2 linked regions of the Arabidopsis thaliana genome follow. The protein of the gene in region 1 interacts with the protein of each later gene in a pairwise test. Each region holds a gene or a part of one and is shown on either strand. Other genes may lie near its edges.

Region 1 (10,338 bases):
GTTTGAATTTTCTGTAACATGTGCGTAAAACTTCTCTCACATAACCCATTCCTCAAATCGGCCAAGTTGTTTTGAAGAATTCTTCTTCCAGAAGGGCTTGATCGCAGTGAAATTACCAGTTTTCTGTCAGAAAAGAAATAGCTTCATCAGTCAACAAAACATAGAAGTAGGCATCGTGATCAGTATGCATATATCCACAGCTAAAATACCTTAAGGCAGAGACTTCTGGTTGTATCACAAACAGGGTAATCATGTGGACAACAATGACGACCATCCTTGCAACACACAGCGGATTCTATCTCGCAGCATTTCCATGAGAAGCATAAACCAAACAATTCTCTTGCACAGCAACAAGTCTCTCCAGATGAACAATACGTGAAAAGGTTGCATTTTGTAGGGCCAGGAGGGGACGGTGGAGGCGGGTTTGGATGTGTCTTGATGGGATATGAAGCAAGCATGTTGATTCCGCAAACGCCGTCTGAATTTTCAGTGTTACGCTGCATGTGCATAAACCCATCCATTCCCCAACTTTTTCCCCATGAGTTTTTCACAATCCAATAATCAACACCATTCTGTGAACCATATCCTACTATGAGCACAGCATGATCCAATGATGTCGAACACGGGCCAGAGAATATTCCCTGCATCAAAAGGTAAAATTTCTAAACAATGAGACGTTGAACATTCAGAAAATAGAGTAGGTTGATCACTAATCTTACAACTTACACTAGAATATAGCTGAAACGCTCTCTCGCTTCCACAGATGCCAACACTAACTGGCTGAGCCGCTACAGCCTCCATTAACGCTTTCTCATCATTTGATTTTACACCAGCATAGCTATCAATTGTCACAACCTTTTGTTTCAACTGCAGAACAAAAGAGACTTGTGTAAGTTAGTGATGTCAAAGATCAAGGAAACAAACAGGGAAGAGAAATTAAAACAAGGAGAAACAGCTAAACAGATACCTTATCCTTCTTACAGGTGCCATCACGTTCTTGATAAGGATAGTCTTTCTCTGTGTCTATTCCATGGTTTTTAATGACAAATTCAAAAGCATAGTCCATGAGACCACCATTACAGCCAGCATTGTAGGACTTGTCACAATCAATCAGTTCCTGCTCAGAGAGGCTGATGAGATCTCCTGTTACTATCTGGTTAATTCCCTCCATAGCTCCAGTCGCCGAGAACGACCAACATGCCCCTATAAATAATCATCATCAACTCAAATAATCAACTATGGATTCATCTGAGAACAAATTTACTATTTCTGAGACCAAATTCCTACATTGCCTACTCTATGAAACAATAACTTTCATAAAAGATACAATGATAATTGCTTCTAGACTTTCCTAAAAAGTTCAATCACTATATTACTCGCATACTTTCTCTTATTATACTCCTAAAAAGGACAAAAAGAGATGCAAAATTAGATTAGTGTGACAAACTACGTCATGATTGGTCTTCTTGTAGCATACGTACTAAATAACCACAGAAGATGAATCTGCACCATCAAAGATTCTAAAGTTTAAGACTTTCTCCGATCTAAATCCAATCTTAAAGTTCTTGAATCACATCCTAAGTCGCTGAACTATAAACTCCAATCAAATCTGAAATTTTGATGAAGAAGAAAGTTAAATCAAATACCGCAGCTTCCTTGATCTTTGACATTAGTAACAGCTCCCTTCTTTCTCCAATCAACAGAATCTGGAACCTTTACGCTACCACCGAGACTCTGTCCCTTACTAGCCATTATCACCGACGGAGCGGAAACAGAGAGACCAAGACGAGAAGCCTTGAACTCGTGGTGAGTCAGATCCGCGAAAGCATTGAGAGAGAGAGAGTAAGTAGCGTTAGTGATGAGATTGTGTTGCGTAACGAAGTCGTGATTATCTTTAAAGATTTGAATCCTCTGTTGCCTCTCTTCTTCTGAACCGTACGTTTTGCCATGTTTCTGGCACCAGTCGTCGAATAGCTCAGAGATGTCATCGGAAGATGACGATGAAGAAACGAGAAGAAGGAAGAAGAAAGTGAGAGAGATAAAGGAGGACGATGACATTGACATTTCTGTAATTTTTGTTTGTTAGAATCGTGGAGATAGTTTTGGCCTAGAAATAAGGAATAGCCTGGAGATTTGTTTTTTCCCATTTCTTTTGAGATTTAGCCAATAAGATTACAAAACGCTGGTTTTGCGTTGGCGTTTTAAACAAAAAGCGTTTGGCGTTGAAAAATTGCCGAACAAAATGATTGAGGCAGAAGAAGTGAACCACGTGTGTAAATAGGAGGGATGTAGCTAGAATTATCCACAACTTTGCCACCAGAAAATTTTAAATTGCTAAATTTAATTATACATATTGTGAAATATGCATTACAAACATAATGTAATGTTAATAAGTACGTTCATTATCATGAAAGCCTTTTAACATAAAAAAACGATCATTATCAAAATTTGAATGTTTGTTTAATAAAAAAAATGCGGACTTGTCAGTATTATCCTCATCATTCACGGGCTCAGGACCGGGCCGGAGAGGCCAATGGCAATCAAAAGCCTAACACATTTAGCTTCCAATCCAACTACATACACACAGTACTATCGTAAATCATTGTTTTGTTGTTGTTTGGTCAACACTAAAATCATTGTTAAATGGGTAATATATCTACGATACTTTATTAAGCAAAAGAAAGCAACTTTAGCCTTTTTAGGTTATAAGACCACCACTCCCTATTTGTGTAGGCTGATGAGCAGTACACTTTGGACCTACTTACGACTTTATTGCATTTAGCCCTTTTTTGCTTATTCTAATTAGTAAATAAGATCACGCGGAGACCAGAGAGTAGTAGTAACCAAAGCAATGTGCATGCCTAACGTGTATTTTCGAGAGAGCTCACCAAAGCAAAAATAATTAACTTCACTTTTGTGAAAACGGGAATGTATTTGATCAATCTTTTCGTATTTAGAAGGCTTATATTATGATAAAACCAATTGCAGATAAAAAAAATACATCCTTAAGCTTTAATATCACTAATAAAACCCGATACAAAATCTCCATCGCCACACACACAAAAAGAAGTGTGATGTGTTAAGCCTTACCTAACTGTCGACAAGTAAAGGCGACTTTTACTATATAATAACCAGCAAATACGAAAGTGGCTTTATTTTTTTGAAATTATTTTTTGCCCTACAACAGTATTTTAATTCACTAGAAAATTCCAAGAATATATTGTTGTTTTATCGTATCTCAAAAATCAAAAGGCACATATTAGAATATAAATCCCATATAGATGCATTTTGGAGTGGAGGCTCGAATGTGTTGACAAAAACATACATTTGAAGCGATTTCTAGTAATCACAAAATGTTGTTTTCTTTTGTAAATTTTCCACTATAGTTGAAATAAGTTGTACACCAAAAAGTTTGAATATCCGGTTACAAAAATTAGGTAGGCTGAGGTTTGAAAATTGAGTTCCAGTTGTTATGATATTTGGGGACATCCATTAAAAAGTATAGTATGAAATTTTAACAAGGTCTAATTAATTTTTTGAAGGAAAAAATATATAACTAAGCATAAATAAAAATCTTATAGAAACATAAATATAAGAAAAAGATTAATATATGATGCTTATAATGATGAGCTGTCGTCTCATATTCTCGTTTGATTCAAAACGATAGAAATCGACAAAGAAGGTGTGAAGAAGTTGGGAAAACAAAATTAACGCTTGAAGAATCTAAAGGTTTAGCTTTTTTCTCAATCCGATCATTCACCGAGAAATATTCTATTTTATATATTTATGTGAAGCTCTTCAATTGAAGAAAGAAGAAGAAAAGACAATCGTCAAATGCTTGACTTTGGTTTCAGTTCTTCTTCACGACAGCTCAAGGTGATGATCATTTTTATTTTACTCTTCTACCTAATCATATCACTGCGAATCTTTTCCAAAGTTTCGCTCTTTATTCTCTCAATGTGCTTTTTTTCTGAGTTGTTGTTGAACTAGGGTTCTTCTGGGTACTAGTAACTGTTTTGCTGATTTTCTGAGCTGCTTTTGGCTATAGAATTTCAGTTTTCAAACCAAACCTTGTCGATTTCAAATCAATTCTAGTCGGCAGTAGATCTGATCTGTCTCTATTGGGCTAGGTTTTACAGTGTATCAATTCACCACTAGTTCAAAGTTCATCAGTGCTTACACAAGTTTACTTTTTTTTGTATGTGTTCATGATTTAGCTAATGATCAAGATACTTGAGATATAATAACACACCTTATTTAATGCAAATGGGCCTACAAATTCTACTAGGAAGATCGGCTCTTTGATGGGATGGGACACCAAGAAATCACCATGGGTTTATGATGCTATCAATTACTAGTAGTACGTGTTATCTTCTGAATATATATCATGGCATCCTCTGGACTGGGAAATGGAGTAGGCACTTCGAGATCTGCCAAAGGTTTAAAGAGCTCTTCTAGTTCTGTCGATTGGTTGACCAGAGATTTGGCTGAGACGAGGATAAGGGACAAAGTAGAGACCGATGATGAGAGAGTAAGTCTTGCATTGCTTCTTCTTTTTTTCATGTTTATTCAACTGTTTTTTAGCTTCACTTCTTTATCCTGAGCTTATATATGTTATGGAGTTGGTTACAGTGTCTGAGGTTTTCGTTACGTTGCAGGATAGTGAACCAGATATTATTGATGGGGCTGGTGCTGAGCCTGGTCATGTGATTAGAACCACACTCCGTGGTCGAAATGGTCAATCAAGACAGGTTGGATGGTTATGGATAATTGTATGTGTTAGTTGGTAATGTAGTTTATCTAACTGTTTCTCATATAGATTTTTTTTGGATTGGCAGACAGTCAGTTACATATCAGAACATGTTGTTGGTACTGGTTCCTTTGGCATGGTTTTCCAAGTGAGCTAATTTAACATAAGACCCATGATGTTCGTTCTATTGATTTGGCTCCATTCCCCTGCACATTTATGTTTCCTTTTGGTAGGCTAAATGTAGGGAAACTGGGGAGGTTGTTGCCATCAAGAAGGTTCTACAAGACAAACGCTACAAGAACAGGGAGCTACAAATAATGCAGATGCTAGACCATCCCAATGCCGTTGCTTTAAAGCATAGCTTTTTCTCAAGAACAGACAACGAAGAGGTTTATTTGAATCTTGTCCTTGAATTTGTGCCTGAGACCGTCAATCGTGTTGCAAGAAGTTATAGTAGGACAAACCAGCTGATGCCATTGATATATGTTAAACTCTACACCTATCAGGTAACTATTTCCTACATTTGAACCTTTTTTAATCTTTTTTGTAGTTTTTGCTTCATAATATTTGTAAATGCATGCCAGATTGATAATCCGCTGGGTTTTCTTCAAACATTTTTGATAAGTTTCTGTTAATGGTGACAGATTTGCAGGGCGCTTGCTTACATCCATAATTCCTTTGGTCTTTGTCACCGTGATATCAAGCCTCAAAACCTGCTGGCAAGTTCCATTTGCGTCTCCCTGTTTTGAAAGGAATATATAACAGATGACCTTTTTTTTGCTATAACCTATTTTTGTTTGAATGCTCTATGAGCAGGAGATAAATAGACACGTATATTATTTACATTAAAGATGTCATACTAGGTTTGGATTCTGACATGATGTATGTTTATAACAGGCCTGGAGATTTAATACTTTTAATTTCATTTACTCCCTTCACAGAGGAACTAGGCTTCTCTTTTCGAGTTTATATTATTGAGAAAGCTAGTTGTTAAAATTGGATTCTGAAATTAACTTTGAGAAATTGAGCTGGGTTCTTAGAGTAACATGTCTGAGCTTAAAAATTCTAACTAGTTAGAATTGCTATCTAAAAAGTTGTTCGGTGTTAATTTAAATGCATTTATATATCTGACTTTACAGATGTTGTTGTGCAGGTGAACCCACACACGCATCAGCTAAAAATATGTGATTTCGGGAGTGCAAAAGTGTTGGTAAGTTTTATTGACACAGCTTTTAACGAATTCATTCTTGGAGTATGACATGTTCTCGTTCTCTGTAGGTAAAAGGAGAACCCAATGTTTCTTACATCTGTTCTAGATACTATCGTGCTCCAGAACTCATTTTTGGTGCCAGTGAATACACAACTGCAATTGATATATGGTCCACTGGTTGTGTGATGGCCGAACTGCTTCTTGGACAGGTTAAAGCATGATTTTTGCATTAGCTATATGTTGTTCTATTCATTCAGTTTATTCCTTGTCTTACTATTTTGTGCCCTTGCTAATTTGTCGTACAGCCTCTGTTTCCTGGTGAGAGCGGAGTTGATCAGCTTGTTGAAATCATTAAGGTAGCCTTTTATTAATTCTTTAAATTTATCTAAAATCATCAAGTCCTGATAAAGTGATAAGTTCTTTTAGAACTTTTGTTTACGTAGCAGACAGGTGCAGATTGTCAACTTTATATCTGAATGATTATTAGGCTTAGGCATCACAATTTGTTACGTCTATTGTTGAGTTCGTATTCAGTATAGAAGAAAGCAGTAACCTTTGGATTGCTCAGTCTGATTTCGAGGAAACCTTGGTTTTCTTATTTCATTTGCTTTGATATGTCATGCAGGTTTTAGGTACACCAACAAGGGAAGAAATCAAGTGCATGAATCCAAACTATACAGAATTTAAGTTTCCGCAGATAAAACCTCATCCATGGCACAAGGTATGCCTTCTAATGTTATTGATTATCACCTACCAGAATAATCTTTAATCAGTGGTTTTGTTGGTGAATGCATTTTTTCAAAGAGGAGTTCTGGTATTTGTGATGGTTTGGAGTATGAATCATTCAAGAGTAAATATCAAAAATAAAATTAATGTTGTCATTTCCTCTGCTTTATAAAACTATCTGTGGTAGAGTTGAAAACAATTGGCTAAATGATTGTGGCTTTAGTTCTAGTTTGAGTATTTCTCTCTGGTGGAAATGGTTTTCAGGATTTTGTTCTCTGACATTCTACAACTTGGTGGTTTGCACTTTGCATTAAGCTGTATCTAGGATTTTTTATTTTCCCATAGTAAAAAAAGGTTTAATTGACTTCAGTGATAATTATCTCCTTGAGCTTCGCTTCTCTCTGAATCCTTATTACTGCATGAATATTCTATTTATGCTCAGGTGTTCCAAAAACGTTTGCCACCAGAAGCAGTTGATCTTCTTTGTAGGTTCTTCCAATATTCCCCCAATTTGAGATGTACAGCTGTAAGTTAATTCGTTCCGTTCCCTCCATATTAGCATCTAATGATCTAAATTCATTAAAAACACTCTTCTGGTGTTATTGTAGTTGGAAGCTTGTATCCATCCGTTATTTGATGAGCTAAGGGACCCAAACACTCGTCTTCCCAATGGCCGACCACTTCCTCCACTTTTCAACTTTAAACCGCAAGGTACAGTTCCCTTATTTTTCTTGTTGGGCCTATTAAGAGATCTAACATATGTAGTATGCTCCGTTAAGTTGTTGACATGTTGCGTTGTGTTCATGATTGGTAATACATATAAACATCATTCAGTGTTAGTATATGCTCTTTGAATATTGAGGATGCTAAATAAATTGAACAAGTATGGTGCCGTTGTGGCCTCTGAAATATATGATTACTAAGCAAAATATATAAACACTTTGTTCTCCATAGACATGAACCTGTCATCCTTAACTTTCAGTACTTCAAAATCATGAACTGAGGTTTTATGTGTTGTTGCAGAGCTATCTGGCATACCTCCTGAAATCGTGAACAGGCTTGTCCCAGAGCATGCCCGTAAGCAGAACCTCTTCATGGCTTTGCATTCGTAAGACGCTTATCGGTTTTTGCATCTGTATAAGCAAGCTCTCTTGATATCAATATTTGGAGCAGCCAGTTTTCAGCCATTTGGCTTTTGTTTTTGGTGAGTTCTTTTTCTTTATTTTTTTTCTGTTTGGTTGGTTATATGTCGATGAGGATGCATGAATACAAACAGTACTTGAGGTTTGCTGGTTACAGACCACTTGTTTGTTTCACGGCCACCATATAACCTTATCTATCGCAAACTGTTTTAAAGCATGTAAATTACTAACCAAAATTAATTGCATCGTTTAGTTTTACAAATAGAAAAGAAAAATCAACTAAAAATTAATGACTTTGCCGCTCATGTGTTTGCACATTGTGTTTCTGTGAAAATCAAACCGATTCCTTCGTGAAAATAGCCGTGTCTTCCTCCAGATCGTGAATTTGGTACTTCATACTTACCGGTCAAAAGCTCAGAAGCAATATTTCAGTCATGGCGAACCGTATAGTATATATCAAGGAAAACCTCATAACATAAACAAAGGTTCAGAACTTCAGACAAAACCTGTTTTAGATGACAGAGTCATGGATCAATCTCAGCCCAACAACATTAAAACTTTTCAGCCCATCAAACCCACCAAGTTTAAATTTCTTTTCTCTCTTGAATCTTGATCCAGTAGCTGATCCGACAACGTTTTGATGTTTGGTCGAAACAGTTGAAGTCTCTTCCTCTTAAATGTGATTATCAATTAAAAAATATTATTTGACCCAAGATACATGGGTATTGGGCCTCCAAAAGTTTAAGCTTTTTAGTAACAAAATTAGGCCTCCAAAAAAATTTGTTATTGCAAAACTATATCCTATATTCTAAAATTTTAATATTTAGTCTCCATTTTTAAATTTATCTATTTTTTATTTTCTAAAAGTTATAGGATTTAGTCTTAATTTTTAACTTTTATCAACAAAACTCATTAAAGAAAAAATTATTTTGTATTGGGCCTTATCAGGACCGGCGTCTACAAATAATAATAGACAACAAAATTACACATACAATGAAGATGTTTTATTGGTCACGATTTGATTTGGTATTTATTCTTTAACTACCAAAAAAATAAGTAAACTCAAAAACAAGAAGGGAGGAACCACTTTAAACCCTTGTCTACGCTGGTCCGAGTCCAGAGTCCTCTACTTTGACAGTCTCCCTCCATGTCGTCGTTGTGTGCATCTAATTGCTATCCTTCATCTTCTTCTATCAATCTCTTCTCCAACAACAACAACCCAACTAAACCCTTTCTTCTCTCCCTCAGATTCGCCTCCTCCAATTCTCTTCCATTTGTTGCTCCTCTCAAATTCTCTACTACCAATCACGTCCTTAGTAACTCTCGTTTCTCTTCGAACCGAATCCAAAGACGCCTTTTTTTGCTCCGATGCGTTTCAGAAGAATCTCAGCCGTCTCTTTCTATCGGTAACGGCGGCTCTGGTAAATACCCTTTTGCTCATTATGAATTAACAAACTTGGTTGAATGTTATTGTAAAGATATCGAATTTGAACGCCATTGATTATATAGTAATATCGATTTCGATTTCTGCAGAAGAGAGAGTGAATGTTCTTGTAATTGGTGGAGGAGGGAGAGAACACGCCCTTTGCCACGCCTTGAAGCGGTCTCCTTCTTGTGATTCTGTGTTATGCGCACCTGGAAACGCCGGTATATCCAGTTCCGGAGATGCCACTTGTGTACCTGACCTTGACATATCAGACAGTTTAGCTGTCATCTCTTTCTGTCAGAAATGGAATGTTGGTTTAGTGGTTGTTGGCCCTGAAGTGCCTCTTGTTGCTGGTCTCGCTAATGACCTTGTTAAGGCCGGTATCCTCACCTTTGGCCCTTCTTCTCAAGCTGCTGCTTTGGAAGGTTCCAAGAACTTTATGAAGAATCTTTGCCACAAGTACAATATCCCTACTGCTAAGGTTTGCGTCGCTTTCTCTTTTTCATTTATCCCTGATGGTTACCAATTTCTTCCCTTGCTGTGTTAGGATCCATAAGGTTGCTATGTAAAGATTATAAGCTTTGAAGTGTTCAACTGTTAGCTATAGGTCTGCTTTAATCTAGCCTAGTACTTAATGTAGCAGGTTATAGCTGTTGTGAGTTGGTTAGAGAGCGGTTAGTGAGTGCTAGGTGTACTATGGTTTGGTTGGCTATGTGGTTGAGGGCTCGGTAAATCGGTGGAATAAAAGTAGTAGCAGATTCGTAGCTTTGATATTATCTTAAGGATTCCAATTTGATGTGGCTAATACGGTATTATTGAATGGAATTCAAATGCAGTATAAAACATTTTCTGATGCATCTGCCGCGAAAGAATACATTCAAGAACAAGGGGCACCGATTGTGATTAAAGCGGATGGATTAGCAGCTGGAAAAGGAGTCACTGTTGCCATGGAACTAGAGGAGGCTTTTGAAGCTGTTGATTCTATGCTGGTCAAAGGTGTGTTTGGTTCTGCAGGATGTCAGGTGGTCGTTGAGGAGTTTCTCGAGGGAGAAGAAGCGTCCTTCTTCGCACTTGTGGATGGAGA
Region 2 (8,193 bases), on another chromosome or scaffold:
TTAAAACATATGTTTGAATCTGCTATACAATTAACAATGTGATCTCATATATGTTTAGACACAAATTGAACCTTTTCCGCAACGATTTTAAGTTGATACAAGAGTATTTCTATTGTATTAGTTGCAGTCATCATCATTATAAATTGACACAACAAAACCTCATTACCTAAAGTGGCATTATTTCACTGTATTCTCATAGAACTATAGAAGTCAAGTTATTTCTCATAGTTGAACGATATTTGACATCCACAAACTCTCTACCATCAAAAGTTATGAGTGTTACATTGCCAATCCGATATACCATCGAATTAGTGATCAATTCCTATAGTTACCTTTCCTCACATTCTCCAAAATCACGAACTGCTCAGTGCATCATGTCTTTAGAGCCCACTCATCCCCATCAAGTCGAAGAATCTACATGATTAAGTGTCATTAGAGTCAGTTTCTTTATATATTTAGCTCATAAATTAAGAGCTAGTAGTCTCGATCTCCATTACATGTTGCAGCGATTGATATTATACGTAAGTATACAATGCAGACATGCGTAAATCATCTTGTCCCAAACAAGACTTGAATCAGAAATCATACCTACCTCTTTTGAAATGTCGACGTCTACCACTAGACCACCACTTAATTGGTTAGTGTCAGTTCATTCTTTCATAATTTGAAACCTTCTAGCTCAACAAACATAAAACAAGAACAAATTCAACACACGTATTAAAAACTGTTGATCCCAACAACGAAAATACGACACACAGTAGTTGAATTTTCGTCACTTCGTTTTCATGAAATGGTTACGCTTTTATTCGTAGGTCCACCTCTAGTCACCACCACTCACACCAGTCATTAGCACTCGGTCCGTATTACTACTTAGATGATATGTTAAATCAATTTTGTTTTTTGATATAGTTATTGTTATTATATTTTTATAATATCACTATCAATCTCCCATCATCCCAAAGGCTAAAAAAACTTGATTACAAAACAAGTCATATCACATTTAAACACTTGCCGGTCCACTTTAGTATATCATCTTAGTTTGACTAGAAAAAAAAAACGTCATAGACACAAAATTTTTGGTTTTATCATTATCAACAACTCTGAAAATCATTTCATTTGAATCTGCAATTTCATTTCAAAAATGGGTCCAGTAATAAGTAATCAATATATTTTTCAATGAAATAATAAATAAAAATATATGTTTGGACAGCAAACTTTGCAGTTATGGGTCAGTACTCAACTGCAACAAAAAGAACACATGGTCTCTCTTACAGATCTCTATCTCTTTCTCTATCCCCACTCCCATCAATTTCCAAGTTTTATTATTAAATTATCTTGATTTGGTAGAGAGTTTGTTTTGTTAAAAATATGAAAAATTTGAAAACCAAATTAATTAACAAATGAAGGTTGGGTGGGGAAGAGGCAGATGTGGACACGTGGTGGGATATGATTGGGTAAAAGGAACAGTCAAAGGGGGCAAAGAGATTAGACCCGGAGACGATCGACGCTTATAGTCAAAGCAAGACACTGTCACGGTCAAATATTATGTCTAGCTGGCACTTTTGTTTGTGGTCCCCATCTCACTCCTCTCTGTTTTTTTTTTCTTTTCTAATAGTGTGTGATATTTATAAAGTATATTTCTCAAAAAAATATTTATTTTTAAAACTTTTTTATTTTGAAACTGCAATTATGTGAAACAATTTAACCAATTTTTAAATGTTGTTTTTATATAAAAATTCTTATTCGTCAGCAGATTAAATCGATTCAAAAAGTTGTTTGGCAATAAGCTTTTTTAATAGCTATTATAATTTTTTTTGAAGTAATATTATAGGGAAATATCCGTTTGGGTTAGAATTTAATATAATAAATCTAAAATATAGGTTTAGATTTAATTGGGTTCGAATATATTCGGGTAAATACTTGAATTTTCGGATAAAATTTTGGGTTTAAGGTAAAATTTATATTTTCGAATAAAAATATTTGAGTATTTTTGGATTGTGGTTGGATTCGATTTTTTTAGTTTAGGAATTTAGAATTCAATATAATAAATCTTTCGATTCGGATTCGGTTTTAGATCCAATTATTTGGGTCGGTTTCGGTTCGGGTAATCGGTTTCGGTTTTTTTTTTCAGTTTTAATTTTTTTTATATACTAAAAAGAGGTGAAGGAAGGTATTGGTATAACAAACAAAAAATCAAGAGTTGTTCCTTTGGAATTAATAACGATGATAAGATTGAAATTAAAAAAGTAATTAAGAAATTAAACATAGAAATTATCGTCACACGTGCCCCGACCTGTACGGGTTACTCTTCCCCGTGGGTGTTTGGAGTTTAGTGCAAACTTCTCAGCTTTTTTGACTACGTTGCCGGATTTTCTTTACTCTTTCATTTTTACCACTTTACCCTCATTTTTGTTTATCCTTCAACATTTTTTTTGTTTTTTTAACAAAATCCTTAACCTTAACAAACATCTTTTTAACATAAATGGGAAAAGTATTTATCCTTAGTTAGCGTGGATATTAAGAAAAAAAAAGCTAAAAGAAAATTTAGAATTTCACTGTTGTCTTTTTTTGACTAATTAAAGGATATTCCCAATTTTAAATCCAAAATATTATCAGAAAAAACTAAAACTATTCATTCACATACCAAAGTGTTTATTCCACACTTTATTGGAAGGAACAATTACATCTCCTGTATAATTTGACTGAAATAATGTGTTTAAAATTACTAATTCTTTATTATTGGGAGAATTTTCTTGGTTGCCTAATTAATTACGTTTTAAAACTATAAAAGGTAGGGACAAAATTGGAAATCAAAATTATTAAGCTGAGTTTTTCAATGGTAATTAAAAAAGAGAGTTGTATTATAATAAAACCGGGAGGTGAGGGCATGTCACATGTGGTGTAGCTTGCACGTGTGGTACGCGAGTCGAGAGGACTAAATGACCGGCTATAACCAGTGAATTCACCGGTCACCTTATCTTTAATTTTTTTAGATTTTCCACCCGAATCTTTCAACAAATCTTTAATCTCTCCCCTTTTTTCTCCTTTTTATTTTATTCACCCCATTTTTTTTTCCTCTCAAAGAAACAAAAACAAAACAATCACTCACACTACCTCAGAAGAAGGTAAGAGAGAAACAAACAAACAAAAGAGAGAGTACGGGTTTCTTCTTCGTCATTCTCACGAATTCGTGAATTTATTTTTGATTTCGTCATCTGGGTTTTCTCAAATTCTCTTCCTTTTTTATCTTTTGAGATTTTCTGGTATTGAAAGTTCAAACCTTTGTACTGGGTTCGTTGATTTTTTTTTGGTTTCCTTCTCATTATTCTTCATGATTCCTCCTTTTTTCTGTTTCTCGAAATTTGTGGTTATAAAATTCACATTTTTTTTGGGAGCAGTTGGGTTTCAATCATGTGTTTATGATGTTATATTATTAACAAGAGTTGAATGAATCTTCTTTTTGACCGTTGAAAAGAGAAAAACTAAATTAAAGCAAAGAGGAAAAAGAAGAAGAAGAAGATTGTGTTGTTGTTGTTGTTTTAACGCTTCTTTCTGAGATAAAGACATGCGTTTCTTTTTCAGCTCACATTATTTTCCCAAATGTTGTGAGTTTGAGAAGAAAAGTCTGTTTTTTTATTGAGATTTTTTTGTTTCTATAGATTCTATCGAAATGCCGATGTTTCAGCCGTTAAAGAGAGATGGGTTAATAGGATTTGAAGGTGGTGGTGATGGGCAAGTCTTAGATCTGGATACTGCAGTGAAAGATGGAGTTCTCGGTGGTGTTAATGGTGGTGGTGTTGGAGTTGTTGATGAGAAATTGGATCTGAAGAAGATGATAAAGGAGCTAGATTTACAAGATATACCTTCTGTTTTCATTTGTCCTATCTCCTTAGAGCCGATGCAAGATCCTGTGACTTTGTGTACTGGTCAAACCTATGAAAGGTTAAACATTCACAAATGGTTTAACCTAGGTCACTTGACTTGTCCTACTACAATGCAAGAGCTTTGGGATGATACGGTAACTCCTAATAAAACTCTTCATCATTTGATCTATACTTGGTTCTCTCAGAAGTATGTGTTGATGAAGAAACGTTCTGAGGATGTTCAAGGACGAGCTATTGAGATTTTGGGGACTTTGAAGAAAGCTAAAGGTCAAGCTAGGGTTCATGCTTTGAGTGAGCTTAAACAGATTGTTATTGCTCATCTTATGGCGAGGAAGACTGTTGTTGAAGAAGGTGGTGTCTCTGTGATCTCTTCTCTTTTGGGTCCTTTTACTTCTCATGCTGTTGGATCTGAGGTTGTTGCTATTCTTGTGAGTCTTGATCTTGATTCTGATTCGAAATCCGGCTTGATGCAACCAGCTAAGGTTTCTTTGATTGTTGATATGTTGAATGATGGATCTAATGAGACTAAGATCAATTGTGCTAGATTGATTAGAGGATTGGTGGAAGAGAAAGGGTTTAGAGCAGAGCTTGTTTCAAGTCATAGTTTGCTTGTTGGGTTAATGAGATTGGTTAAGGATAAGAGACATAGAAATGGAGTATCTCCTGCACTTCGGTTGCTTAAACCGATTTCGGTTCATAAACAAGTTCGAAGCTTGATGGTTAGCATTGGAGCAGTGCCTCAATTAGTTGATATCTTACCGTCTTTAGACCCGGAATGTTTGGAGTTAGCTCTGTTTGTTCTTGATGCTTTGTGTACAGACGTGGAAGGAAGAGTTGCTGTCAAAGACTCTGCAAACACAATACCTTATACAGTTAGGGTGCTGATGAGGGTGTCTGAGAATTGCACTAACTACGCGCTGTCGATTCTTTGGTCTGTCTGCAAATTAGCTCCAGAAGAATGTTCACCACTTGCTGTTGAGGTTGGTCTTGCTGCAAAGCTGTTACTCGTGATCCAGAGCGGGTGTGATGCAGCGTTGAAGCAGCGGTCAGCAGAGCTACTTAAGCTTTGTAGTCTACATTATTCAGACACCATGTTTATTTCCAAATGCAAACTCACAAGGACAATCCAATAGCATTGGCACTGATTGATCACAGGATTCAGCGGGTTATCCATGAAACGGTAAATGTGCATTGCATTACGAATCTGCCTTTGCCCTGATGTATATATAGATGATGAGTTTGAAGATTGAGCTATTGGTTTTGGTGGTAACAATTCAAAGGAAGAGGCAATCAGCTGATGGAAACATGGGGAAGACGAAGAAACCGGGTGGTTGAGGGATCGGTATGTAATGTTACCATATTGGTTCGTTTTGCAATAAGCATTGGGAATTAGAAAAAAACTGTGTAAAGTTACCGCCTCTGGCTCAAATCAATTTCAGAAGAACAAAGAAAAAGAAGAATTTGAAGAAAGGAACCATATTAAGTTAAACCTCTCTACTTTGGGTTCTTGTGAGAGGTTGTTTTGCTTTTTGACCATTCACAACAGAGAAAAAAAAAAAAAAAAAAAAGCAAAATCTTTGACCCTGAACTTGTAGAAGCCTCTTTTAAGCTTTTGAATCTTTTTTTCTTCATTCAATGTTTTCTTTTAGCTTTACTTAGATTAGGAATTAGACAATTGTCATGATTTCATCTTTGTTCTCAGCCTCCTTATTGTCTTCAACGAAGTAAATATCAAAAACGTGATTCTTGAAAAATCAATCACTGTTATTGCATAGAGTGACATCTCAAAGTACAGTATGATGTGAATTTTGATTCTTGTCTAATAAGTAGAGCACATAAGTTGTGGTGGAGACCAAAAGTCTCCATACATTGTTCTGAACTACTACTGTTGTAATGAACAATTGAAAAGAAATGTGAGATTTGACAAGTGAATCATTCAACAATTTCTACTGTTTTTTAACACAAAAATAAACATAGGCTTATTTTACTTGTCCTGTTTTTGGAAATGAGTCTGAGCAAATCTCTGTTTTGAGTGGGTTTGTGTATAACACAGTGTGATGTGAGAGTTTTTGTCTTGACATATAAAACTCTGTAACAGAGAATAACAGTAACCAAACCTATAGATGGGCTAGATATTGTACCTTATGGGCTTTAGCTACTAAGCCCATTTGCATAATTAAACAACGACGTTTCTTAAATTGAATGGTGTCCCGCATACCCTAGCCCCTAGATGGGCTGGACTTTCAATCTTATGGGCTATTTTTACGTAGCTCATTAACTAATCCAGCGACGACGTTTCGTAAGGTTGAATATTTAGCGTCAATGGTGTCTCGTTAAAGGTCGCGGATTAAGAGAGAGATACTCGAGAGACTTGTGAGAGATCCCCAAAAAAATGGCATGGCTTGCTAGATCCATTGCGAATTCTCTGAAGATCGATGAGGAAGAATATGATCAAAAGGAAACGATTAAGACCAATTCGATTGAAAATTCCGGCTCAGATCAACCGTCTTCGCCATCGGTGTTGCAAACACAGTCTCCACGAGGCGTGAAGGAAGACATCTCTGAACTCACCAAGACCTTAAGAAGTCAGCTATGGGGCGTTGCTTCTTTCCTCGCGCCACCTCCTTCTTCTTCCGATACGGCGGATCATGTGGATGAGGAGACTCGGAAGTCATCGGATCTCGCGGAAGGTGATGAGGATCTGATTGCTGGAATCAGGAACGATTTCGTTGAGATCGGAGGTAGATTTAAGACTGGGATCTCGAAACTCTCTGGAAACTTACCGGTATCGAAGTTTACAAATATGGCTTCGAATTTCTTGCAATTGGGATCGGAAGGTGTGGATTCGAAGAACCGTGATGTTGCGATTGGAAATGCAATTGGTGTGACGGAGGAAGTAGTTTTGTTTGCTAGAGATCTTGCTCTGCATCCTGAGACTTGGCTTGATTTTCCTTTTCCTGACGAGGATGATAACTTTGATGGTACGTTTTCGATTTCGCAGCAGATTCGACACTAATTTGTAATCGATTATGTTGATGAGGGAATCTACTATGGTCTAGACTTAGATATTCCGTATTTGAGAGTTTTTTCTGATCACTTTAGAGTTTAGGGTTTGTTTTATATGAAGGTGTTGTTGTTAAGTGGTATTTTACAACTGTTATGATCAGACTTTGAAATGACTGATGCCCAATATGAGCATGCGTTGGCTGTGGAGAATCTTGCATCGAGTCTGGCTGCTTTGAGGATTGAGCTTTGTCCTGCGTACATGAGCGAGTATTGCTTCTGGAGGATTTACTTTGTACTTGTGCATCCTATATTCAGCAAACATGATGCCTTGACTCTCTCAACTCCTCAGGTTAGCTTGATTCTCAACACCACTGCTGATCATTACTGTCTTTTTCTTCTGTTTACAAAGTTTTCGAGCTATTTGGATGTTATGCTTTATGTTTCAATGAATAGATGATTCTCTTTGTGCTAATAATGAACTTTACTAGTAGCATGTGAATTAGGTTTGCAAGTTTTTAATGTGAATTATTTGATATAAGAATGGGAAAGAGGGAAACTTCTATGATGTGAGTTACTGATTTTGCGTTTTCATAAAGGTACTTGAATCAAGAGCACTATTATCTCACGAGCTGTTGCGTAAGAGAAACAAAGATACAGTAGTGGTGCCAGAGAGTAGTGATAGAGGAGCTGATAGTGAAAATGTGGAACCTCTTTTTCAACCTACTAATCCTTCACCCAAATCAGAACCAGAACCTGTGAAAACGATCACTGTCGAAACAATACATTCGGCTGAGAGATCTGAGTTTGAGACAGAGAAGCACACAGTCGAGACCAAGGAGGTACAAGTTGTTGATAAGCCTGTCATCGAAGAAAGACCAGCACCAGCGTACCATGACAAGCCGGTGCAGAGCCTAGTCACTGGTTCTTCACCTAGAGTTATTGATGTTCAAGTGGATGATGATGCTGATGATTGGTTGAAGGATGAAGATAATGCAGGAACTGTTAGTGCCACCACCAACCATCTTGTGCAGGATGTTGATGAAGATGTGTCGTTCAGTGATCTTGAAGAAGACGACGATGATGTGCCTGTAAGTTACAAGAAATAATTCCTGATTCCAAAAGACCTCACCATTACTCCAAAAGGCTGGCTCTGGAAGAATAATGTCCCACGGCTGGTCAGGTAAGCGAGACGAAGATAGAAATCAAACGATGGGCTTGAATGTTGATGACGAACATGGATGCTATATTTGTGATCCTATACGTTAATTAAATTTATGTTTGTGAATACCTTTTGTAAACGCTT

Evidence for each region. The genes of interacting proteins can lie anywhere in the genome.
Region 2: the proteins of SK41 (region 1) and AT3G49810 interact in a two-hybrid assay, tested with the Arabidopsis thaliana proteins (one large-scale study listed by BioGRID).

What each region holds. Positions count from the first base shown.
Region 1 is NC_003070.9:3,193,574-3,203,911, reverse strand, and holds SK41 (shaggy-like protein kinase 41), read left to right. Parts: upstream 1-3,508; 5' UTR 3,509-3,876; exon of another isoform or gene 3,877-4,288; 5' UTR 4,289-4,387; coding exon 4,388-4,531; intron 4,532-4,658; coding exon 4,659-4,751; intron 4,752-4,838; coding exon 4,839-4,898; intron 4,899-4,939; exon of another isoform or gene 4,940-4,983; coding exon 4,984-5,256; intron 5,257-5,394; coding exon 5,395-5,469; intron 5,470-5,903; coding exon 5,904-5,960; intron 5,961-6,028; coding exon 6,029-6,169; intron 6,170-6,265; coding exon 6,266-6,316; intron 6,317-6,585; coding exon 6,586-6,681; intron 6,682-7,128; coding exon 7,129-7,212; intron 7,213-7,294; coding exon 7,295-7,397; intron 7,398-7,709; coding exon 7,710-7,798; 3' UTR 7,799-8,193; downstream 8,194-10,338. Other genes in the region: XBCP3 (xylem bark cysteine peptidase 3), read right to left, coding at 37-123, 210-641, 727-867, 968-1,203, 1,647-2,064; PUR2 (Glycinamide ribonucleotide (GAR) synthetase), read left to right, coding at 8,976-9,249, 9,362-9,735, 10,091-10,338. UniProt on the Arabidopsis thaliana protein: May mediate extracellular signals to regulate transcription in differentiating cells.
Region 2 is NC_003074.8:18,471,760-18,479,952, reverse strand, and holds AT3G49810 (ARM repeat superfamily protein), read left to right. Parts: upstream 1-2,920; 5' UTR 2,921-3,670; coding exon 3,671-5,017; 3' UTR 5,018-5,648; downstream 5,649-8,193. Other genes in the region: AT3G49800 (BSD domain-containing protein), read left to right, coding at 6,277-6,865, 7,052-7,239, 7,487-7,996. UniProt on the Arabidopsis thaliana protein: Functions as an E3 ubiquitin ligase.